Rattus norvegicus: one gene and its partners. The protein of the gene in region 1 interacts with the protein of each later gene in a pairwise test. Links are inferred from orthologs where the notes say so. Each region holds a gene or a part of one and is shown in the gene's direction. Other genes may lie near its edges. The genes, in order: Litaf, Stam2, Ubqln1, Hip1, Reep6 and Bag3.

What was found.
Region 2: the proteins of Litaf (region 1) and Stam2 interact in a two-hybrid assay, tested with the Homo sapiens proteins (4 studies listed by BioGRID and IntAct). The two-hybrid records come from large-scale screens. The link is inferred for Rattus norvegicus from reciprocal best matches to the Homo sapiens genes LITAF and STAM2.
Region 3: the proteins of Litaf (region 1) and Ubqln1 interact in binary tests that used the Homo sapiens proteins (3 or more experiments, as listed by UniProt). The two-hybrid records come from large-scale screens. The link is inferred for Rattus norvegicus from reciprocal best matches to the Homo sapiens genes LITAF and UBQLN1.
Region 4: the proteins of Litaf (region 1) and Hip1 interact in binary tests that used the Homo sapiens proteins (3 or more experiments, as listed by UniProt). The link is inferred for Rattus norvegicus from reciprocal best matches to the Homo sapiens genes LITAF and HIP1.
Region 5: the proteins of Litaf (region 1) and Reep6 interact in binary tests that used the Homo sapiens proteins (3 or more experiments, as listed by UniProt). The two-hybrid records come from large-scale screens. The link is inferred for Rattus norvegicus from reciprocal best matches to the Homo sapiens genes LITAF and REEP6.
Region 6: the proteins of Litaf (region 1) and Bag3 interact in binary tests that used the Homo sapiens proteins (3 or more experiments, as listed by UniProt). The two-hybrid records come from large-scale screens. The link is inferred for Rattus norvegicus from reciprocal best matches to the Homo sapiens genes LITAF and BAG3.

What each region holds. Positions count from the first base shown.
Region 1 is NC_086028.1:5,161,864-5,166,057, forward strand, and holds the start of Litaf (lipopolysaccharide-induced tumor necrosis factor-alpha factor homolog), read left to right. Parts: upstream 1-1,394; 5' UTR 1,395-1,453; intron 1,454-4,194.
Region 2 is NC_086021.1:57,602,416-57,605,915, reverse strand, and holds part of Stam2 (signal transducing adapter molecule 2), read left to right. Parts: intron 1-2,181; coding exon 2,182-2,332; intron 2,333-3,500.
Region 3 is NC_086035.1:6,442,940-6,447,239, forward strand, and holds the start of Ubqln1 (ubiquilin-1), read left to right. Parts: upstream 1-1,500; 5' UTR 1,501-1,666; coding exon 1,667-1,819; intron 1,820-4,300. UniProt on the Homo sapiens protein: Plays an important role in the regulation of different protein degradation mechanisms and pathways including ubiquitin-proteasome system (UPS), autophagy and endoplasmic reticulum-associated protein degradation (ERAD) pathway.
Region 4 is NC_086030.1:26,768,667-26,772,746, forward strand, and holds the start of Hip1 (huntingtin-interacting protein 1), read left to right. Parts: upstream 1-1,280; 5' UTR 1,281-1,388; coding exon 1,389-1,508; intron 1,509-1,514; exon of another isoform or gene 1,515-4,080. UniProt on the Homo sapiens protein: Plays a role in clathrin-mediated endocytosis and trafficking. Involved in regulating AMPA receptor trafficking in the central nervous system in an NMDA-dependent manner. Regulates presynaptic nerve terminal activity.
Region 5 is NC_086025.1:10,024,101-10,028,271, reverse strand, and holds the end of Reep6 (receptor expression-enhancing protein 6), read left to right. Parts: intron 1-333; coding exon 334-427; intron 428-518; coding exon 519-657; intron 658-898; coding exon 899-1,067; intron 1,068-1,634; coding exon 1,635-1,715; intron 1,716-2,170; coding exon 2,171-2,208; 3' UTR 2,209-3,671; downstream 3,672-4,171. UniProt on the Homo sapiens protein: Required for correct function and survival of retinal photoreceptors. Required for retinal development.
Region 6 is NC_086019.1:192,550,460-192,553,959, forward strand, and holds part of Bag3 (BAG family molecular chaperone regulator 3), read left to right. Parts: coding exon 1-51; intron 52-1,543; coding exon 1,544-1,945; intron 1,946-3,500. UniProt on the Homo sapiens protein: Co-chaperone and adapter protein that connects different classes of molecular chaperones including heat shock proteins 70 (HSP70s), e.g. HSPA1A/HSP70 or HSPA8/HSC70, and small heat shock proteins (sHSPs), e.g. HSPB8.

The sequences.
Region 1 (4,194 bases):
GGATCAGCACGTGAGGAACGCAATGGATGAGTCTCACCCTGGGAAAGCAATTGTATGACCAAATACCATATGTGGTATTTCCTCTGCCAGGCATACTCCTCTACACTTTTTGGTATAGAATCTCAGCTGAACCGAAGGTTCTCCAGTTCTGTAGGTTAGCCAGGAGCAACTGCAGAGATCTTCCTGCCTCCCCCATCCCAGCACTGAGATTACAGGCTTTAGGAGGCAAGGCCTAGCTGCTAAGGGTGGCCATTGAAGGTTAATCCTGTTCCTTGACTCTGATTACTCACTCTTCTCCACCCTGGTCTACTGTAATGTAAACAGCCCCTGCATAGCCTCAGCCATCACAATCTCAACAGCTTTGCCAGATCTTTCCCATAGAGATGGAGTGAAACCTTCTGACACTGACCCAAAATAAACCTTTCCCTCCTGAAGCCTTTTCTGTCTGCAATTGTGCTCACATTGAAGCCAAGGTATAAAATATAAGCCATGGCTTATATTTTACACACTTTATTTATTTATACACTTTTAGTCCCAGCACTAAGGAGACAGAAGCAGGCAGATCTCTGTGAGTTCAAGGCCAGGTGAGACTCTACTTCACATGCATGCTCGCGCGCACACACATACACACACACACACACACACACACACACACACACATACACACAGAGGCATGTATATTGTAAAAATGTTCTTTTTGTATATGTGTGGGATGGGTTCAGACTGGATCTCACTGTGTATCTGTGGCTGGCTTCAAACTTCTTGTGTCTCCCAGATTAGATTCAACTTTTTTGAGAAACTGTTCAGCCTTAAAAAGTTGCAGGCCTGTGGCACTCATTTATGGGGCACTGGGGGTGAACCCGGTTTTCATGCATGCTAATGCCAGCCCTCTACCAGCTGAGCTACATTCTGTCTAGTTTTTGGTTTCTTGAGACTGGTCTCACTATGAAAGCCTTAGCTTGGCTGGGACTCACTGTTTCAGATCAGGCTGACCCGGGATATAGGCTGTATCCCCTGTACTGTTCATGATGTAATTTGAATAGTAGACTTTCATCAGCTACATGACATACAATGTTGTTTCCCATTCTGTAGGTTCTCTTTATGCCTTGTTTTTTGGTAGGGGTGTAGTTGTGGCTGCTAGAAACAAAGAATAATCTTGCCCCTCCCTCTCCCAGGCCTCGCGGCTCTGGAGTCCGCCTCCTGACCGACCTTTTGGCCCCGCCTCCGTGCGCCCCGCCTCTCGCGAGCCCACTCAGGTCGCAGCTTCATCCCCAACCCTCCTGCCTCTAGACTGTCGCTCCGCCCCCCAGACCCCGCCCCATCTGGCTCGTCCCCCCTCAAGCTACGCCCCGAAACGTCCCCGCCCCCAGCTCGCCCTGCCTCCCCGGAGCCCTCCCGGCCCGCGCGCGCGGCCAGCGCAGACCTCCCGGCTCCACTGGCGGCGCGGGCGGCGGTAAGTGCGGCCCGGCTGGGTGCTCCCTGGGGAGCACCAGATTCGGGGCGCTGGGCACGGGGCGGCAACGGAAGCGGGGGTCGCGCTTTGACACCTGCCTAGAGTCCCGGGGCACCGCGCTGCCCTCGGGCGGCGAGCAGGGACGTCGTGGGAACCGGGGTGGCGCGCTCTGGGCGGGATTGAGGGCGAGGGGTTCCAGCAGTGCTCCGATTGTGTCTGGTTCTCAGGCCCGGACTACCCAGCTTCTATCCGAACCTCCCCGAATAATATCCCTCGGGCTTATAGGAAAAGACGCAGTTTTCTCTAAGTAACCTTTAGTATCTAAGTTGCGATTTGGAGAAGGATCCGGTGCGTACTCTGAAAGCAAAAGCGAATAGACAAAAAGTAGGAAAACTTTCCAGATGCTCTTTACTGTTCCCAGCCCACGCGTCTTTTGCTCTAAGCCCTGTGGGTTTCACACGGGTTCCCAGACGGGTGCGGGCGTATCGGAGTGGAGGGGAGCTGTATGACTGTGGAGTCTGGAGCCCAGGCGAAGGAGGACGTGGCCCCTGCCTGTCCTGCCACCCCAGTTCTTGGCTTCCCAGGTTCCCAGGTCACTGTAGGTCTGGACGGTGCGCCTGATCATTAGGTGTTGTGCCCACAGGTTTAAGAGGAAGAGGTGAGGGGAGCACGGGTGTGTTTTAGAAAGGCAAAGCTCCAATGATCAGGTCGTTTGGACATTCCCTACCTAATACTTCGTCGGATTTGTGCTTCCGGTTACTGGAGCTGATGTCATTCCCTGTTGGACTGAGCTCTAGTTGTTGGGAAATAGTTTGTGGAAGTCACGGGGCACTCTAAGCTCATCAGCTTCTTGCTGTTTTGAGACAAGGTCTTATGTAGCCCAGGCTGGCATCCCAACTGCATATGTAGCTGAGGCTGGTCTTGAACTCCTGGACTTTTTGCCTCCGCAGTGTTGAGATTACTGTGCCTCCGAGTCCTTCTCCAGCCTCCTTTGAATTAAACTGTTCTCTCCTGAGGATGGTGAGCTGGAGCCGGTCCGGAGACTCCTGGACTCCATATTGGACCTTCTCTTCTGCCCTCCGCTCCAGCCTCCTCAGATTGGCTCTTTTAAAGTAGAACTAATGCAGAGAGAGAGAGAGAGGCTGTAGGGAAAGGAGCTGAGTGGTATCAGTAATTCCTCCAGTGTTTGGCCTTATCAGTTGGATCTGGATCCAGAGGGCGTGTCACTTGTTCTGCCTGGCCTAGAATAACACCCATACTGCACCTGGCTCTCTTCTTAGCCAGTCCTTGCTCTGCCTTCTAAAGGTGTTCAGGCTAGCTTGGAAATATTTGTTGTAGATCTACTGTGGGAGAGGCCCATTGTCCTTCTTCCTGTACCACTAAAGGCATTAATAATGAATGGTTTTTTCCCTGCTTGAAAAAAAATATCCTTATGATATTTTACTGAATCAAGTGACCCAGAGATTGCTCTGAGATCCATCATCAGTGCCTTGAGTCTCTAAAATACTTCACTGAAGTAGCTTCCTGCCTTTGGCAGATACATTCCTTTGTCCTTCAATACTTTTATGACCTGGCCATAGGAGGGGAAAGGACTACCCCTTGTCCTTTGACAATGCTGGGAAAAAAAAAATGGCTCCTGGCCCTGAGTGGCTTATGTTATGGGTGAAAAGCAGGCATGCTGTTGAAAAGTTCAGAGCTTAGCTCAGAACCCCAGCTGAGGCAACTGGGAGATGTTCCTAGACAGGGAAGGTTGTACAGAAAAGCTTGTATCTGAGGACACCACACATAAGCAGAAAGATCTCAGCAAAGTTGCAGCCGAGGTATAGACTGGACTAGACCACAGTAAGAGGGAAACCTGAGATGAAGGAGCTGGCAAGGCAGTTCCTGCTTTCCTGCCTTAATTTAATCCAGTCATCCCTACTGGTCTCGGCATGGCCTCATGCCGCTGTGAGAATGGGCAGGACCCCTTACCCCATTTCAAATTCTCCTGCACATTTCCCTGAAGCTCCCATGGGGGTGGAAAGTAAGAGGAAGCCCTGGAGTCTTGGCACCAGTCACTTGTATTTTGTTTGTTTTGGCTTTCTGCTGCCATGAAAATAGCCCAGGGAGCCAGGTGGCTCATATCCACAGGTAAATAGACTCCGCTCTCTGTGTCTGTCTCTGTGGCCCATTTGGCCACCCATGGCTGACTCTGAACTTGAGTGGTGATTACCTGCTGTGGAATTGGAGTTTGAGGTCAAGTGCTGCTTTCCTCATAACTTTCTTTTTCTTGAGCATTCACTGACAGACTGGACAGTGATGACAGCATTAGACTCATTGAGATTGTCACTTGACTACAGATCTTTGAGAACTGTGTGTCATTTTATTAGGTTTGTAGACAAGAAGGCCCCTGTCTCAGCATCCTAAAAGTCACATCCAAAATGCCTTCAACAAAAGACATGTTAGTGATAGAAAGTGTAACAGGTCTACGAGCCTTCACATATGAAGACCAAAGACCTTGAGACACTGTTTCTACACAGATGGTAGGGCTGAAGCAAGTCTGTCTGCTCAGTCTTTTTTGGCCCTCTATAAGTGTTATTCTCCTGAGGATGGGCAGGACTCCAAGGTTTTAACAACTAGGATCAGGAGAGAAAGAGCGAGAGAGCGAGAGAGCAAGCGAGCGAGCGAGCGAGCGAGAGAGAGAGAGAGAGCCTTTCCCTTCCCTCTTCTTCTTTTTAAAGCATGTGTATGGGGAAGGGAGA
Region 2 (3,500 bases), on another chromosome or scaffold:
ACAAAACTGAAATAATCAGTGGTAGATTGGTCATAGTTTTAGATAGATCATAGTTTTGGAGAACATATCCCACACCTACTTATACATCTGCTACTAATGATTAGTGAGTAATCACACTGGGAAAGTTGAGAAAAAAATAACTAGTTTGCCATACGTGTGGCTGGCAATATTAGTACGCATTTCCCTAGGCCTAAAAATATTCTTTACCCAAACCATTTGAAATGCGTACTAAATCTAGGGAGCTATACAGTGACCAGATGTTGTGATATTAAACACAATGCTATTTATGACCATAAATATGCAGCTAACTAAAATGTCTTTCAGTGTTCTGTGTCTTATAGTAGAAATTAATTGCCATTGAAAAATACTTTCTGATATGGAATGATGTCATATATATAGTGGAAGATAGAACAGCATAACATTACTTTCATTAATAAGAAGAATTTACTAAAGAAGAATGTCTAAAGGAATTAAAACTCAGAGTGCCCATTTCTGAAGTCAGTTACCTTTGAGTGAGAGCTGGCTGTCCATCTGTGAGTCTGTGAGCCAGGGTCAGTGTTTCATAGCAGAGGGGACATTGCAGCCTCTAGGGCTTTATAGTCTCATGGACTGTTTGCTCCTGCCACGAATTCAAAGATAAATATAAATCATTTTTCCTTGAATAAATCAGCAACAGTTTGCTATTTCTATAAGGGATGGGAATGAGAGTTAAAGTGCCTTGTTAGAAAGTTAAATTGTACATTTCACTTTGTCATCACAAAGCATGAGCTCTCATACTGCCCTCCAGTTCTGACTTACCAGACTATTGTAATCTGATTTTCTACTGCTTTCCCCATTAGGTTGGCCTTTCACTCCTCCCCTGTATCCTGGTTGTCCATTTGCCTACCTTTCTTTTACCATCTGGCCGACCTGACCTGGTCATTGTTTCTACCTTTCCTGTCCATCTTTCCTCAGGACGAACTTGAGCCCTGGTCTTGTCTCTGCTGTCTCCAGCTCCCGTTAACCTCTAAGTTCTCTGTCCTTTCCCCACTCCTTAGAAGTTTGCACTTGGTTATGTGTTACTTCATTTGCTGGTTTTTCTTTTGTGCTCTTGACCTTGTCTTCCAAGGAGAAGCGCCTCAGCTGTCCTTGCTTGCTCTGGTGTAGTCCTGAGTGTGATTCCCTGAAGGCTTGCCTTTGCTTGGGGTTGTCAGTCTTGCAGGATGGTCTTATGCATGCGCTCGTGGCCGTCCGCTGTTGTGTCAGTGTCTCTGCAGTACGCTGGGTTACGTAGGCCACATCACGCTGTTACTGCGTACACCTGACTTCTGTAGGTTTAAGTGCTTTGCAGCAGTTAGATAGTTTGCCTGCTTGTGGTCATGGCACGAGAAGAGACAGCACCTGTTAGTTGGCTCAAATAGCATGTTAATGAAGGAGAGACTGCTATTTGTGTGTTGGGCAGTTTATTCGGCTTCTCATCTCTCTTGTTCACACTGAATCACATCCAGTATACACTTACAGATGATTAATACCACACAAAAAGTAGCCATTTAACTTACACCGTCATTCATCACCCCCAGGGGAATGGGCAGAGTTGTACCATCAGGGTGCATTTCCTGGGTGGATAATGCTTATCTGGATTTGTTGTTGTCTAATGCTGTGCCTAGTTTTGTTTACTTCCCCAAAGTAATGAAGTAAACAGAGTAGCCCAACTTGTGTATATGTTGGTTTTACTTGTGTTTCCTTGATTTTAGTTTGTCCTGTCCTGGACCTGAGTAAGGCGTGTATGCTTTTCTCCCATTTTGCTCTTACTGCAGTCACAGTATACCTCACAGGGGCTCCGGGTCTTCATCTACATACTGTACTGTGTTAGTGGGGTTTATAATCAAGGCATAGACTTTTACTGAAACATAGACTATTTTTCTTTGTAATTAAAATTTTGACATAAATCTATAATGTATTAAGTTAAATTCTAGCACCCAAATTATGAATTGATTGCAATTTATGAGGTGTAGATCTGCCTTTTCTGTATTATTAGGAAGATGGACCAGTCTGTTGATGGAATTCAAGTTTCTCCTCTCAGTTTTCCTTTGGGGATGCCCTTTCATTGCATATAAAAAGAGCCTTCTGAGGTATGAACAAAAATGTGTACTAAACTTGAACGGTCTTCACGTTACTTTGAAAATACTTGTCTTGCATCAGGAGGCACTCAGAGCTGTCGGAGCTGAACGTAAAGGTGCTGGAGGCCCTGGAGCTGTACAACAAATTGGTCAATGAAGCGCCCATGTACTCAGTCTATTCGAAGCTCCACCCGGCTCCTTACTCAGCCACAGCAGCTGGGGTTCCAGTGCAGGTGAGCATTGCTCTTGAGAAGTAGTCATGGTTTTAAAAAAATTAAATGTTTTAAGAGCATAATGCTAAGGGCAAGATAAGGCCCCAGGGACCTGCTGCCCACGAGTAAAATTATAAAACTAGGGCTGGAAAGATGTGAAGAGATGGCTTAGCCATTAAAGATTAGGCTCACAACCAAAAAACAAAAAAACAAACAAAACAAAAAACCAATGTTCAAAACAGTGTATGTTCCTTCTTCACTGTGAGAAAGTACCTGAGGAGAGTCAGCTAAAAGGAGGAAGGTTGTTTGGCTGGTCTAGTGATCTCAGGCGTCTCAGTTCATAGTCAGCTGGCTCCACTGTCCTCAGCCCAAAAGAGCACTCCATCCCCAGGGCAGGTGGGAGGCAGAATAGTGCAGGTCTGAGGGCAAGATAAGGCCCCAGGGACCTGCTTTCTCCAGCAAGTCCTTACCTTCTCACAGCACGCTCTACCATGCACTCACTAACGGGCGGATTCATGGGTAAAGTTAGCTCTCGCTCACCAAGTTCTTGAAATCCAGACTTCCAGCACACAAGCCTCTGGTGTGTGGGGGTGGGAGGGGATCTCCATATCTGCAGACCTTGGCACTGAACTTTGATGGTTTCAGAAGTATTGTTTGAACAGTGTTAGCCATAAAGATTAAATATGATATTTCACAAATTCATTCCAGTTTATTTTTAACACATTGAAAAGACTGTGCCTGGTTCTTTTTATGCCTCTGTAAGGAAGTAAGTATGTATGGGGTATAAGTCTTCTTTGTAGATGTAAGTCCTGGGCTGGAGACATGGCTCAGCCGTTAAAGGCTAGGCTCACAACCAAAAATGTACATGTAAGTCCTGTTTTATCAAGCACGAATTTCTCTCATATATACACACACACACATAATTTTTAATTTTATGTACCCTAAAGTGTTGTCTGGATATATGTCTGTATGAGGGTGTCAGATCTCCTGGGAAGGAGTTACATACAGTTGTGAGCTGCCATGTGGGTGCTAGGCATTGTACTTGTGTCCTCTGAAAGAGCAGCATTTTCTTAGACTCACGCCTTAACGTCTGTGTAATGAAGCTTTGCTCTGGGCTGTGAGATGTAGTTGCCAGAAGCTGCCCATTAGCAACATTGCTTTCCCACTACTTAGCATGGTTTTGTGCCTC
Region 3 (4,300 bases), on another chromosome or scaffold:
ATTCCATACAAACATCAGTAAAGGTTATCTACAGCCGCTGTATTAGAGTAAAGAGATCGGGTTTCTAAAGGGCAACAGAATGAAGACTTCCAGGAGGTGGGGGATATGATGTGAGATCACAGAAAGTTAGGCAGGGAAAGGTGTGAGGGGGGCGGAAGGGGGGGATGTCATCATAGAAGGCAGCCTAGGGAAGTACACAGGGAGAATACAGCAGGAAGGAAAACCAGTCAACAGAGGAACTAATGAAGTTGGAAGGAGATTTTATATATATAAACATGAGAAAATTCCAAAATGCTTGCTTGCTCAGTGGTGGAACTTTCTACCCCAAGAACTAACAATTTTCTCACACCTAGACATAAAGCTTGTAACTTCTTCCTGTGATCGAACAACGCTGACAGAAATGTAAGTGATATCAAGTGACACTTGGGTCGCCATTTACCTTCGAAACTCTGACCCAGATTTCAAAGGGCTCTGCTAAGAAGTGTTTATGCAACAGTAGTTAATCATAGAACAGGGTTTGATGGCCTAAGAGCAGAACTATGGAATGTCTTTGCATATTAGGGTCACGGTACACTGTCAGAGTTCACGTTTGTGCAATGTTGATTAACAAAGTGCCGGACTGTATTACATGCTATCTTTGCGAATAAAGGATGTGGGAGTCACTTGTGAATGACTTATTTGTGCCTACATTATGCTGAAAATAAGTTTTCAACCATTATCCCTGATGCGAGCTGCACAGTAACGTAATGGGACAGAATACAAAAGGCACACATCAGCTGGGCTTAACTCCTACCCGTTGGGTGGACAGTCCTAGGCATTCTGTTTCTGCCCCCACGCAGCTTGGAAGACAGACAATATGGGTTGTCCTGTCTTCTGACCAAACCTGTTTGACTCCATGGAGGGAAGCTCTGGCCTCATTGAAACAGTGAGCGCCTGCGGTTGCGCTGGTGGCTCACTGGCGTCTGTTTCGTGTTCCTTTGAAGACCTTTCACCATTGGCTTAGCTTCCAAGCCCTGAGCACAAGACAAGGCAATCGTAACTCCTTCCACCCGGGCAAACACTACGCTTATTAAAATAAAGTAACTCGCCGCTATTTTATAAGCCAACGCCCACGGGGACCAGGTCGGGAGGATACCGGGACCGAGAGCAAAGGGCCAGACGTTTCTAGCAATTTCGCTGCCCGTGACGTCATCTTAGTGCACCATCATGGCGTCTTCCATGAAACCCCTGTTTAAATGCCTTTCAAAGAAGAACGGGAGACGCGAAGTGGGTTAAGTTCCCCCGCTGTGCCCAGCGCTCCTTCGACCTGGAGGAGCCCGCGCTTCGTCCGCCGGCTAAGAAAGGAACGAGCGCCGCCAGGCCATGAGTCGGCTCCTTCGCCAACGCGCTACCCGGCGTGCCTCGCGCAGCCGGCCGCCAGGAGTCGGCGCCGCGGCCAGCGCGTTACCCAGCGTGCCCCGCGCGGCGCCCGGCGACGAGCGTGGGGGAGGTGCGGGAGGAGGAAGCGGCGGCGACGCGGAGAGTCCCCGCGTCCACACGGCAGCCGATCGCCCACCGGGGCCTGCACCCGCAGCCCGCGTCTACGCACCGTCGGTGGCCCCGCAACCTGTCGCGCCCCGCGGACCCGGCCGCAGCCCCCAGTGTCGCGCTCGCCTGAGTCACCGCCATGGCCGAGAGCGCAGAGAGCGGCGGCCCACCGGGCGCTCAGGACAGTGCGGCCGACAGCGGCCCCGCAGAGCCCAAGATCATGAAGGTCACGGTGAAGACGCCTAAAGAGAAGGAAGAGTTCGCTGTGCCCGAGAACAGCTCGGTCCAGCAGGTGAGGGCGCGGGCCAGGCGGTCGCTGCGTCGCCGGCGGGGCGGGGAGGGCGGCGAAGGGGCGGCCTGGCCGGGCGGCGGCCCCGGGGAGCTCCGGTCAGGTCCCGCCGGGTTCCGCTGCGTGAGCTGTGCGGGGCCGGGACGAGTGAGCCGCGCGGCCTGGGCTGGGCTGCGCCGCAGCCGCCGAGCTCCGGGCCCCGGGACCCCAGTCCTCACAAAGGAGCCGGGAGCTGCTGGGAGGCAGGGCGCGGGCGTCGCTCGGCCTTTGACCAGGCTGGGTGGGGGTCATTGTTTTACCTGCCTGGGAATTGGAGAGGTTTGGGGGCGAGAAGCACGTGGAGGGCTAGTTCTCGGTTTTGAATGCTGAACTCTCCCCCACCTTTCAGCCTTTTATTATAAAAATTATGACGCGGAACTTGTTTTCAGTCACACTGTACTAGCTCACGCCTGAAAGGAAAAAAGTAAATGACTTTTTGATTCATAGGCGACTTGCTGCTTCTGTGAACAATACTTCCGTCATCGCTTAGCTGCCACTCATTGGATAGGTTTTTGTTTGATTTTTTTAGGGAGATGAGAAGACACCTGACTGGGTCTTAGCGGTTGCAACGGACCGCAAGGAAACATGGTTGATGTTAAGGCCGATAATTGCCTTAAAGTCTATTCAGGAAAACAAATCTTGCAGCTAATTAAGAGCCTTGGTAGAACCTATCAAATGTAGTTTTCAACACGGTCTAGAGCATTTGAATTGTTGACAGTATCAAACATTGTAAACAGTTTTATGCGAGGAAGCAGGGAACAGCCACTGGAATGTACCTGTAAGTTCTCTCAAGGCTTATCTAGTTCCAAAGGTGAAGTCGGTTTCTTTTCTGAAGCAAGAGGATGTGTGGCACATTGAGAGAAACTCTGGTTGACTGAAGCATCATTCCTTGTGCGTTAACGCTGCTATAAAAAAAAGTTTACCGTCTTTATGTTTTCCAGCAGGTGTGTCCGTCACCCACAATTGACATTTTCCTGCGTTTTCTGTATTGGGCATCTCTTACTTCTAAAATACACTTACTATTAAAAATACTGCAAATATCAGTATTACCCTTATAAGGAAGGTAAGCCACATAAATATTAGTGGCTTGAGAACAACGTCTTTGAAAAATGGTATTCCACATGATGAGAGGCGCAGTGATACGGACATGGTTGCCTTGGCTGGTTTCCCCAGCTCCATCTACACCTGTGTCAGCCAAGCAGGCCATAGTGGAGCCTGTTAGAGTGAACTACAGGCTTCCTTCCGTTCCTCTTTTTGTCACCCCTGTAAGGATTGTTTTTCCTACAAGATTGAGTTCACAGAGACCTAGTTGTCTCTCATGTGGTCTTCTGGATAAGGCTTTTTTTCTTCCTCCACTCAGCATAGTTTTTGAGATTCATCCCAGTGAGGTCTGTATCCCTCCCACGACAGAGATTTGCATACTAGGCACAGGCTTCATTCTACCACTGAACCAAGTCCTCAGCTCAGTACTTAACTGCTGAGTGGTTTTCCACACCATGAATGTGCCGTCACCTGCCCAGGGTCATCTGTTTTCAGCTGCAGTTCTTGTGAAGAGCCTCAGGAGTCCTTTTTGAGGCCATATGCTCTGTTATTGTTTAGTTGCTTTTGTTTTTATTTAAAAGACAGGCTTTCACTCTGGAAGTTTGGCTATCCTGGAACTCACACTGTGTAGACCAGACTGGCTTCAAATTCATCTGCCTTACTCATCTGAGTGTTGGTATTAAAGGCATTCACCACCATGCTCTGCCAGTTCTGTTTAGTTTTATAAGAAACATGAAAAATGTGCTATTTTGCAGTTCAGTCTACATCATATGGGTGTGTGCTCCTTCCTTCTGTCTCCTTGTTAATATTTGGTACGAATAGGGTTTTTTCTTTTTCTTTTCTTTTTAAAGATTTATTTAGTGTGTGTGAGTACACTGTAGTTGTCTTCAGACACACCAGAAGAAGGCACCAGATCCCATTACAGATGGTTGTGAGCCACCATGTGGTTGCTGGGATTTGAACTCAGGACCTCTGGAAGTGCAGTCAGTGCTCTTAACCACTGAGCCATCTCTCCAGCCCTGGTTTTTTTTTTTTTTACATTGTAACCGAGTAATGAATGTGTGGACATACTAAATTATGAAGCTCTTGAGTCTTCCTGAGAGTCCCAGTTTAGATTTCCATCTTCCTGGCAGCTTCCACATTTTATTTCAGGACATTAGAAATAATACTTTATAAATAGAAAAATTATTTAGGTGATTATCTATAGGGTTTTTTTGGGGGAGTGGGGAATAGTGACACTAGAATTTTAAATTCCGTGGAAGCTTATGTTTTGCTGTGCTGTAAAAATGTCTTTACTGGGTAAAAGTAAAGCTTTCCTAAAGTAACTTATTCTAATGTTGGTTTATCTGTTTCCTGTGGGAGCAGTAAATGTGATAAAAGTTGAAAGCATACCCTGTCCCCCCA
Region 4 (4,080 bases), on another chromosome or scaffold:
ACTGTCTTTAAAGCGTCCCACTGGTGTGATCGCTCAGGTAAGTTGCTACTAAGCCTACGACCCACGTCAGCTCTCTGGGATCCACATGGTAGGGAACAGAATCTTGTTTGCTTTCTGACCTCCACAGGTGCACTGCCGCGTGAGCACAGTCCCACACATACACACAGGTACATAATTCACACACATTAACAAAAGCCAAGCATCGTGGTCCACGGAGATTCGAGGGACTCGGCTATATAATGAGTTTGATGCTGTCATTCATTAATCAAAACATTGCCTAGTACAAGTGAGACGTGTACTGGGTTCTTGAACAGATAGATGAATAGCATCATCAATTTTTTTAAATTCTTAACGGTGCCACTGGTTCTGTTAGTAGAGAACGTGTAACATTTTCTTTGCTGAGGAGCACACGTCCCAGTCTGTAGATGCTCCCAGAACAGGATGGGAGGAGTGGACCCTGCTATAGATAAACAAGGAGCATCTGTTGGGGTTTCTACCAAGGTAAGGGAAAGCTCTGGGGAGATACCCGCAGTCAAAGTCCAGTACTTGGGGACCCGGGTCGGCGATCCTCCAGAACTGGCAGATAGGAATGCACGGGGAGGAGACTTCGAGAGCCACTAAGGCCGCCATCGCCGGACCACACTGATGCGGAGTTCCCCGGCAAGCCTGGTGAAAGCGGTGCAGCCATGCTTCCCTTGATCTGCCTTTCCGTCCCCCTCGGGAACTCGTGGCGCCGGCTGGACGGCAGCTCTTCGAGCTCAGCAACCCGCAGCAGAGAAGGGCCCAGGAGGTGGCGCTTCGAGATAGGGTGGAGTCTCAAGGGCTGGTCTGTAGCAGCCAGGCCCTGCCCCATTAAGATGACGGACAAGCCTTCAGAGCAATCATGGTGCTCTTTTGGTCCTGTAGGGTGGGAACAAAGGAGGAGTGACGGATGTAGGGTGGAGCAGCAAAAAAATGGTGAGGGCAGCTCACGAAGCCAGCCCTGCTGTGTTGACAGATAACTCTTCAGACCAATGACAGTGCATTTCTAGGCCTGGAAGGCGGTGTATCGATCATGGGGCGGAGCCTCGGGGAGGGAGCAAGAGCCCACCAGGTCCTGCCCACAGAAGTTAACGGACAAACCTTCAGACCAGTCATAGCATGCCGACCGCTCTGAGGCGGGCCAGCCGGTGAAGTGAGCGGAGCGCCTCCGAAGTGGGAAAAGGGATGTGGGGAAAAGCCTCTTGGAGAGATGGGGTGGGTCCTGAGGGAGATGGACAGCGCTGTCAACCAATGGAAGACGTAATCTGTCCCCGTTAGCGCCGGATCCCCGCGGGTAGGGAGGGGCGGGAGGCGCCGCGGGGATCCCGGGGCGGCCGAGGGCCCCTGACTCTGTTCACCCAGACAACATGGACCGGATGGCCAGCTCCATGAAGCAGGTACCCAACCCGCTGCCCAAAGTGTTGAGCCGGCGCGGGGTTGGTGCTGGGATGGAGGCTGCGGAGCGCGAGAGCTTCGAGCGGACTCAGGTGAGATTCGAGAACCCTGGGGCATCCCTGGGGGCACCTGGAGTGATGCAGGGTGCTAGAGAGGCTTGGAACGGAGTGAGTCTTGCAGTCCCGGGAGGGAATTAGGCAAGGTGGCTGCGATCAGAATCATTTTGGGGTGCGGAACTAGGCGGGTCCCAGGGAGGTCCGGGACCTGGGCATCCCTACTGGCACGGGGGTCGGGGTGTACTCCGGGGAACTGCAGATTCCTGCAACTGAGAGAATAGCCTCGGCGAGCACCATCAGAGGTCACAAGGGAGGCCAAAGGGAGTCGAAAAGGGACTGATGGAAGGGGTGCTCCTGGGTAGGGGAAGCACTTGGAAGTCACTCGGTTTTTGCAAGTGTGGGGACACCAACGTAGAGGTGTAAAGGGTGGCTCTGATCGCTTTACTTTAGTATTGACTTCTTCCTTCATTCCCCAGCATCTCGTTCAACGGTGCCTCTAACTTGGCTCTCAGCAGCCCCAGCTGTTGGCCTCAGAGGCTGCGCCAAAGGGGTCTGAGTGATGGGAGGGACCGTAGGAAATGTGAAGTGTGGTCCAACTTGGAAAATGACCCCCGGGGGTTTGGAGAAATGGGGACGCGTGTAGGAATTGCGACGCTTGGACTGTCAGACCCTCGCGTGTCGGGTTAAGCTCTCCAGTGATACATAGAATCCTGATTTGCGGTTTTCCTTTCACCCTCCAAAATATGCCTGACAGCTACTAAGCAGACCGCCTGCCTTGTCTGGTCTGACCAGGGCAGATGGCCAAAATTCCACCGCGGTTATCAACAAAAAGCCACTATCCACTTTTATCTCAAGCTTTTATGCATGCTGTATCGATCGGACCGAGTCAAGTAGTGAGGCGCTGGGTGTGTAGTTACCAATTCATCTGTATGTAAAATCTGAGAGTACAACCCTTCGGATCCCACTGCGGAAGCTGGGCCCGTAGATTTCTTGTTCTCCTCTGGCTCTCCAAGTTCTACTTTGAAGATCGAGTTGACTTCAGCCAGAGGCAGCTCCCCTGTGGTGTTCTGTGAGTAGAAAAGGTGGAAGAGATAGGAGAGCCCGTGAGTTCTATAAATGGACGGTGCACGGAAGACAGCCTTTTCACCCCAGGGGACTTTAATCCACCTCTTGTTTCTGAGACCCCTGGATCCACTTCTTGTGTCTGGGGGAAAAAAGGGGTAGTTGTACCCGGGGAGGAGGAGAACCGGCATTCACTTACCTCTCAATGTCTAAGGGTTTTTGGAACTTTTTTAATTTCTCAGATCTTCTGAACTTTGGGCATTGCTGCCAAAAGGAAAAAGAAAGTTTTCATCTTCTCCCCGCTACAAACCTCTTTTATTTTTAAACTGAAAGAGGAAAATAAGCCGGAGCTATTTTGTGACATCCAACCGTCTGAGAATCTCTGATAGCTTAAAACTGGAGCAGTAAGTTAGACATAAAAGTTTGAGCTTGGGGTTGGGGATTTAGCTCAGTGGTAGAGCGCTTGCCTAGCAAGCGCAAGGCCCTGGGTTCAGTCGTCAGCTCCAAAAAAACAAAGACAAAACAAAACAAAAGTTTGAGCTTAGGCCCAGTGGAGCTGGCTAAGGGGCCACCTGCGTTTCATGCCAGGGAAGGAGCCATGTTGCCCTCTGACTTCAGTTTTGAGCTGCGCCATGAACACCCCTCCATACACACACACCCAAAATTACATTAAGAGTGTTTTTGAAAGTTTGAAATTAATAGACAGTGATAGAAATTAGGCATTTGAGGGGTTGGGGATTTGGCTCAGTGGTAGAGCGCTTGCCTAGGAAGCACAAGGTCCTGGGTTCAATCCCCAGCCCCGAAAAAAAAAGAAAAGAAAAAAAAAAAAAGAAAGAAATTAGGCATTTGAAATGTTTCCAGCCACAACTAACATTTTTCCTAGTTACCCAGGGAATACTCAACAGGAAGACTGGTAGGTCAGTGTCTAATTTTACCTTCGTAGAACACTTGTTATTAGTCAGATTTGGTGTGTGTGTGTGTGTGTGTGTGTGTGTGTGTGTGTGCATGTGTGCACACGCATTGAGATATACTACAGCAGAGTTTTTCAGTTATGGAAACTCCTCCCTCCCCTTTTTTTCTTTTCTTTTTGATTTTTACAGATAGGGTTTCTCTGTATAACAGCTCTGGCTGACCCGGAACTCACTTTGTAGATCAGGCTAGCCTCAGACTCACAATGGTCTGCCTGCCTCTGCCTCCCAAGTGCTGAGGGTTTTTTTTTTTTTAATTTTTTGTTTGTTTTGTTATTGTTGCTTTTGTTTTATTTGAGTGAGGATCTTACTGTGTTGCTCAGGCTAGCCTGGAACTCAGCTATGTAGACCAGGCTGGCCCTCAAACTTTCATCTCCCTGCCTTGGCCTCCCTAGTGCTCAGATTACTGGCATGAGGCAGCACAATCCAACTGAGTTGTTGAAATTCTCTCAAGCTGGCAGGCATGGTGGGACACTTTGACAATCCCAGCACTCAGGAGGCAGAGGCAGGAGGATCCTTGCCAGTGTGGTCTCCATAGCAGATTCCAGGCTAACCATGCCTATACATAGGGAGACCCT
Region 5 (4,171 bases), on another chromosome or scaffold:
GTTTCAAAAAAAACTCCAAACAAAACAAAATGCCCAAGACAGTCAATGTGGCAGAACACGCCTCCAATCTCAGCACTCGGGAGGCAGAGGCAGGCAGATCTCCATGACTTTGAAGCCAACCAGAACTGCATTCATTGTGAAACCCTGTCTTGAGGAGGAGGAGGAAGAAGAGGAGGAAAAAGGCTGAATTTGTGATCCAAAACTGAGACCTGGGTGTGAAGCCAGGGTTCAGTGATAGGGATTCACTGCCCAGGGCATCACCAGGAAGAGGCACAGGGAGCTGTCAGATAGGTGCTGTGTGCCAGGCCTTGCCCAACGCTCTTGTCTTTGCAGGAGCCCTCACCCTTCTAGGCCTGTATCTTCTGTTCGGCTACGGGGCGTCTCTACTTTGCAATGTCATCGGATTTGTATACCCCGCATATGCTTCGTGAGTGCAGCAGGCAGTCCACAGGGTGGGGGGCTTCTGGTGTTCCCAGATGGCACCTTGAGGGCAGACACGTGCATTCCTACCTGGACAGAGTCAAAGCTATCGAGAGCCCAAACAAGGAAGACGACACTGTGTGGCTAACCTACTGGGTGGTGTACGCCCTGTTCGGTCTAGTCGAGTTCTTCAGCGATCTACTCCTGTTCTGGTTCCCTTTCTACTACGCGGGCAAGGTGGGTAGTCGGGCCAGCCCTGGGGGCAGGGGGCAGGCAAGGGGGAGAGGTGGGCTAGTCCTGGGGGAAGGGGGGGCATAGGTGCCCTGTTTGACCCTGTGGTGTGTCCCTTTGTGTAGGGCAGGGCCCTGTGGGTGACAGCATGCTGTCCTCATGCATGGGGCCGGGCCCTGTGGTGACAGCATGCTGTCCCCATGCGTGGGGCCGGACCCTGTGGTGACAGCTCCATGTCCCTATGCAGTGCGCCTTCCTATTATTTTGCATGACACCCGGGCCCTGGAACGGGGCATTGCTACTGTATCATCGCGTCATAAGACCTCTGTTTCTAAAGCACCACGTGGCTCTAGACAGCGCCGCGAGCCAGCTAAGCGGAAGAGCATTGGACATAGCAGCTGGGATAACCAGGGACGGTAAGTACATGGGGCAGATGCCCACGGGGCTTGGTTTGGATACTGTATTTGTTTTGTTTCCCCCCCCTACCTTTTTTTTTTTTTTTTTACATTTTGTTCTGCTTTGTTCTTTTGAGACAAGGTCTCACTATGTAACCCTGGCTGGCTAGGAACTCGCTTTATAGACCAGGCTGGCCTTAAACTCATAAAGATCCACCTCTCTAAGCCTCTCTCTGGAGAGCTAGGATTAAGGGCCCCACACATGGCTAATTAGGTTATTTTGAGACAAAGGACTTCAAATAGCTCAGGCTACCCCCCTCCTCACAAGGGTGGTCTTTTGTTCCTGACCTTCCTGCCGCTACCTCCTGGGTGCCGGGATGGCACTATCAGGCCGCCTTAGCTTGCTCCTGGGTCTCGATTGACCCTCTGTCTGTCTGTCCCCATGATTGAATTTGCCTATCTGTCCCTTTACCTGTTGCGAGCCTCCTGACTCTGGCTACATTCCTTGTCTTGCGTCTCGACCAACCCCTGCATGGCTCCACTATCCTCTTACTGTCCGCCTCTCTCTCCTTGGCTGTCGGGAACCAGTGCTACAGGCCTTGGCTCGGGGTCGGACTCTCGTAACCCCAGCATCAGCATCGGAGTCCCCAGCCGCTCTGGAACCGGACCGTATGTAATCCTCTGAAGGGATTGTATAGGGCACATTCACTCAGTGTGCATGTGGTGTGATTGTCTGCATGTGTGTGTACGTACGAGCACGGCGAATGCCAACCTGGGTGTGTGTCTGCATATGTGCGTGTACGGGGGCCTCTGGACAAGCGTGTCCCATGAGGAGCAGAGTTGCAGGCCTATGTTCAGATGTCCTCAAAGTGGGGGCAAGCTTGCCTGCAGAGCAGAGCTGACACCACATTCTTTTTTTTTTCTTTTTTTTTTTCTTTTTTTCGGAGCTGGGGACCGAACCCAGGGCCTTGCACTTGCTAGGCAAGTGCTCTACCACTGAGCTAAATCCCCAGCCCCCTGACACCACATTCTTACCAGCTCTCCCTCAGAGACTTGGTGGGAGGGCCCCCAGCCAACCTCAGCTGCCCTCACATACCTACACCGGCGATCTTTTCTCTCCACAGCCAAGTCAAGTCAGACCACACTCCTGAAGCACAAGTGAGGTCTGCTGGCAGTCTGTGTGTAGAGCCCCCAACCACTGACAAGGAACACATAGCCGATGATGGCCAGATCTCTGACAGTTCCTCAGACTCCCAGATAGAGGAGACACAGCCACAACCGCAGCCACAGCTACAGCCGCAACCACAGCCACAGCCGCAACCTCAACCACAACCTCAACCTCAACCTCAACCTCAACCTCAACAACCACAACAACCACAACCGCAACAACCACAACCGCAACAACCACAACCGCAACCACAACCACAACCACAACCACAACCACAACCACAACCACAACCACAACCACAACCACAACCACGCCGACCCTCAAGTCCAAGTAAACCATTAGGAAGCCCTTCACGGGCCACAAATGGGCAGTCCCCGTCCCCAGTCAGCCCAGGCTCTGCGTCTGCGTCCCGGGGTCAGCTGGCCACTGGTTCTTTCGTCATCGGCTCCCAGTTTCCCAGCAAGACCCGGACCCATCGAAGCCGGGGCAGTTTGACTCCCAGGGCCGCACAGCGCGCCCGGCTGCCCAGTGGAACACTGGGGTCCATTCAGCTGCCCATGCGCTCTGTTGCTGCCCCACAGTCAGCAGGCCGGTCCTTGGGACCCAGCCGGACAACAGGCCGCCACACAGGAACAAACCAGCAGACCCCCCAGGTCTCCACGGCAGGCCCAGGCCGAGCGGCAGCCGCGGTGGCGGCAGCGCCAGCCCCAGCCCCAGCAGCCCCAGCAGCCCCAGCAGCCCCAGCAGCCCCAGCAGCGCCAGTGCCAGCGCCAGCAGCCACATCTGTACCCACTCCCACACAGCGTGTCAGTGTGTCTGTCCAGGGCTCACCTAGGGTCCCGTCTCCCTGCACATCCCCTGACCTCAACCAGGGGGCCGGCAAGGCTCCGGTTGAGTCAGGGAATGCAGGTCCCAAGATCGGCAAGCGTAACCAGAAGACACAGGCGGCTGGCAGCACCTCTGTGCCCGAGCTGTTGGTCCCCTGTCACTCTGACACCTCTCTGGATTATTTGTCCGAGTCCACCACGGAGATCACCTGCAAATGGCCAGACTACGGTCACCAGCTGCGCTGCCCTAGACACTGCTGGCTCCTGCCACACCTGGCATACTAACGCCACGCCTGGACACCCGTGGGCCATGAGACCGCAAGAGACACCTACCCAGGGGAGCCACAAGAAGCACTAGACCTCCGGAGCACCATACAAGAGCCACGTTGAATAACTGCCCGTCGTGCAAATAGTTTAAACATCTGCCACAATGCCACATGAAACACCCACCAGCCAGGCCATCACACGTCAAACCTGCCCGTGGACTCCCGGGTGAGACACCAACCACGAAGCCCCATGTGAAACACCCTCAACAAAACATCCATCAAGGTGCATGTGAAACACCATCCGGGGTCCCCCATGTAACATCTATCCTCCGCGGCACGCAATAAAATCACCCGCTCAGGCTCACCGAGTGTGTCCAACTATCTGGTCAGGCCCCAAGGAAACTGAGGCAGAGGAAAGCAGGTCACCTACCCTGGGTCCTGCTAAAGGGGCCAAGACACAAGCACACCCAGGCAGGAAACCTATGTCTTCCCTTCCTGAGACAGAAATTTCGTAGCTAGCCCAGGCTGGCCCAGAACATATGCTCTCCCATCTCAGCTGCCAAGTTCTGACTTCACAGCATGGCATCCCTCTGCCTGGGGAAAAAATAGAGTATTAGTGTTTACTCCAGGTAGAAAGGGCACCACAGGCCAAAGACAAGTGGTGTGGCAGGTCTGCCTGTGAGGTAGAGCTTACTGGGGTCACCCACAGGAGCAGGAGTGACTCAGGCAGGAAGTCTCCGTGAACAGGTCACCCCAGCATGGGTGACCAGGCCTCTCCCCGTTATTGTTCAGAGACCGGAGAGGTTTCTTGGGATTTTCTAAGAGTTGTTTTTTTTTTTTTTTTTTCTTTTTTTCGGAGCTGGG
Region 6 (3,500 bases), on another chromosome or scaffold:
CAGGTGCCGGCAGCTGCAACAGCCCAGCCCCCGACTGCCCACGGACCTGAGGTAAGAGACCCAGTTCATGCTGGGCCAGAAACCGACCTGGTAGTACACGGGGTTCACGGCCTGCAGCCTCAGGGGTTCTTGCTGCAGAGATGGTTGGCAGCCTCACATGGTCCCTGTATCTTACACCTGTAGGTGTAAGATTTTTTTCAGATGGCCAGAGAGCACATGACTTATTTTTGTAGTAGAAGAATTGGCACCAACAGGGTAACTGAGTGACCAAAGTGCATAGAGGTAGAGGCCTCACAGCTTGGAGCAACTGCCTGGCTTCCTATATCAGTGTTCCTATGCACACTGGGCTCTCTGCTTCAGAGAGAGCTGAGTTACTCTGGTCCCTTCAGATGGACAGCAACCATTTGGACCTATGCTGGGAATGAAATCAGGGTGCCATAGATCTCTGTCTTCAGGTGTGCCGTTAAAGGGAATCCAGCATTAAGTCAGAAGGGCAACAGCTTTAGGCTTGAACCCTGACGTTTGCCATTTTGAGGTTTGTTACTAGTGAAAGTGTGTTGCTCACTCGGTTCTGAGCTGAGGTTGTGGCCAACAGACTGGGTAGGGTTGCTAAGTAGTTATGCCTTCCTTTTTCGTCGTCGTCCTCTCGGCAGCTCGTCCCCTGGGTCACTGGCATTGTTCTTGAGGATGAGTCCACATTTCCTGCCTGCGTCAGAGTCCTGATTGTTTTTGACCTCTACTTGTGTTCACTTTCACTGTAGTTAATGTGGGATACTGGAAATCTCTCTCCTTTCTTGGAGATGTGTTTCCTATGTAGGTAATGTTTCTCCAGTACAAGTCAAAACAACACATCGGTCAGAGATCTTAGAAAATGTAAGCCAACAAGGCCGTTAGTGGGGAACCACCTAGGCAGCCATCTTCCTCACCTTCTAGGTGACTAGAAGATAGATCAGAAGAGCAAGGGACCTGGCCTGCACCCAGACACAGGCAGCTCCCAGATGCTTCACTGCATTCTCCAATGAGAGGTTAAGCGGAAAGGAGACATTCAGTAACAACAAACAGACCCAGCGGCCCACACCCTTCCTGTGCACGCCGCTGCCTGCCAACGCACAGGCACAGAGCATCCAGTTAATCCTCAGAGCAACCCATGAGGTGGGCAGGCAGGCTGTCCTTTCCCCATATTTCAGGCAAGGTGCCGAGAACTGTCGAGCTTCCAAGTATTTAAACCCTGGCCCTTTTATTTCAGAGCTCTGGGAGCCTTGTGTATGCTGGGCAGGTGCTCTCCCAATGTCCCAGTGTTCTTAATACTCTATTTGTTAAGTAGAGTGTGCTGGAGAGTGAAACCAGGGTCTCAAGCACACTGAGCACTTGCTCCCTCCCTCACAGAAGTCCACACAGCCCTTATCCTCACACTTTGAAAATGTGTGGCTTTGGGCTTTGGGGATGTGTTGTCCTGGCCAGGTGGTGTCTGGAATATTTGGAGTGCCAGGGCAGCAGGGTCATTCATTCATGGCACCGTGCCTCTGCCCTTTGTCTCTTGCAGCGATCTCAGTCTCCAGCTGCCTCTGACTGCTCATCCTCGTCCTCCTCGGCCAGCCTGCCGTCCTCTGGCAGGAGCAGTCTGGGTAGCCATCAGCTCCCCAGGGGTTACATACCCATCCCCGTGATACATGAGCAGAACATCACCCGGCCAGCAGCCCAGCCCTCCTTCCACCAAGCCCAGAAGACCCACTACCCAGCTCAGCAGGGTGAATACCAGCCCCAGCAGCCTGTGTACCACAAGATCCAGGGGGACGACTGGGAGCCCCGGCCTCTTCGGGCCACATCTCCATTCAGGTCACCTGTCAGAGGTGCATCCAGCCGGGAGGGCTCTCCAGCCAGAAGCGGCACACCGGTTCACTGCCCATCACCCATCCGTGTGCACACGGTGGTTGACAGGCCTCAGGTACGGAGAGTCATGGTTCACAGAAACACAGGTGGCTGAGGCAAGCCGAGAGGTTCTGCAGATGCCCTGGGATTCCTCAAAGCCCTGCCTTGTCAGCATAGCACAACTAGAGACAAATGGAATTCTAGAAGCTGCTGGTCTTTGATGCTCAGGGACAGAGGGGGAGGGAGAGCCTATGGTAAGGCTGTCACTCAGTGCTATCACTCTCACCTCTATGGCCATGTTCCTTAGTGTGCACCACACCTTTCCTCTCCCCATCCCCCCCAACACATACTCTAACCACACTGTGCACTTCAGTTTAAGAGGGGCATTGTTTCTCTTTCTCTATTTCTGTTCTACAAGCCATTCTCTTGATCCCTCTGGGGCATTTGCTCAGGCTGGACCTGTTCTATAAAATAAAAGACCAGTGCAGTCCCCCATCCCTTTGCCTTCTAAGGGATGCCCACCTAGTCTCTCCTCTAAAAGCAACTCCTTTCCCTTCATGCCTTGCACGAGTTCCTTCGGGTTCAGTCCGTGATTATCTTGTGCAATCCAGATGGTCCTCTTATCTCATAAGCTCCGAGCCTGACAGCAAGGGACCTTGTCTGAGACATTCCCCTTTTGCAGTAGGGTATTGTGGTCCTTGGCCACATTGGTGGACAGTAGTGGAAAGCCATTGTGGTCTGGTGGACATCATGGTCACGGCCCTGCGCATCCTCCAGTGAAGCTAGAGATGTTACTGAAACCAGACACCTGCAGCTCAGAGACAGGAAAGGACACTCACTCCCGGCTGTAACATTGAGCAGCTGAATTACTCCTTATCACGGTTTTAAAAGTGAACTCTCCCTATGAGATATTTCCAAAGATCCAAATGTAGAATGTCTTTCTCTTACAGTGATATTATCTCAGTCCTGGAAACAGGAAATCCTCAACTTTTGTTTGTTTTTGCATGCATTGTGCATATGTGTCTGTGATACATGTTTTGTGCATGTACACGCACATCCTTATGAAGGCCCATGGTCAATGGGAGTCTTTCTTGATCTGTCACCACCTTTTACACTGAAGCAGGGTCTCTCACTTGAACCCAGTGCTTGCCGGTACAACTAGTCTACCCAGCTGGCTAGCTTGCTTCGGGGGATATCTTTTTTTTTAATATTTTTTTTTATTCATTTATCATATATAAGTACACTGTAGCTGTCTTCAGATACACCAGAAGAGGGCATTGGATCTCTTTACAGATGGTTGTGAGCCACCATGTGGTTGCTGAGAATTGAACTCAGGACCTCTGGAAGAGTAGTCGGGTGCTCTTAACCGCTGAGCCATCTCTCCAGCCCCTTCGGGGAATATCTTATCTCTGCTTCCTGAGTGCTGGGCTTACAGGTGGACTGCCACACCCATGCATCTGTCCTGTGTGCCCTGGAGGTCCAAACTCTGGCCGTCACTCACGTGTTTGACCTGCTGAGTCATCTCCCCTGCACTGTCTTTAGCTTTTCTATTTGGAAACAATTTCAGCCTTTCTGAAGAGCTGTAAGACTCGTATGAAGAAGTCCCATGTGCCCTTCACCCGAGTTCACTG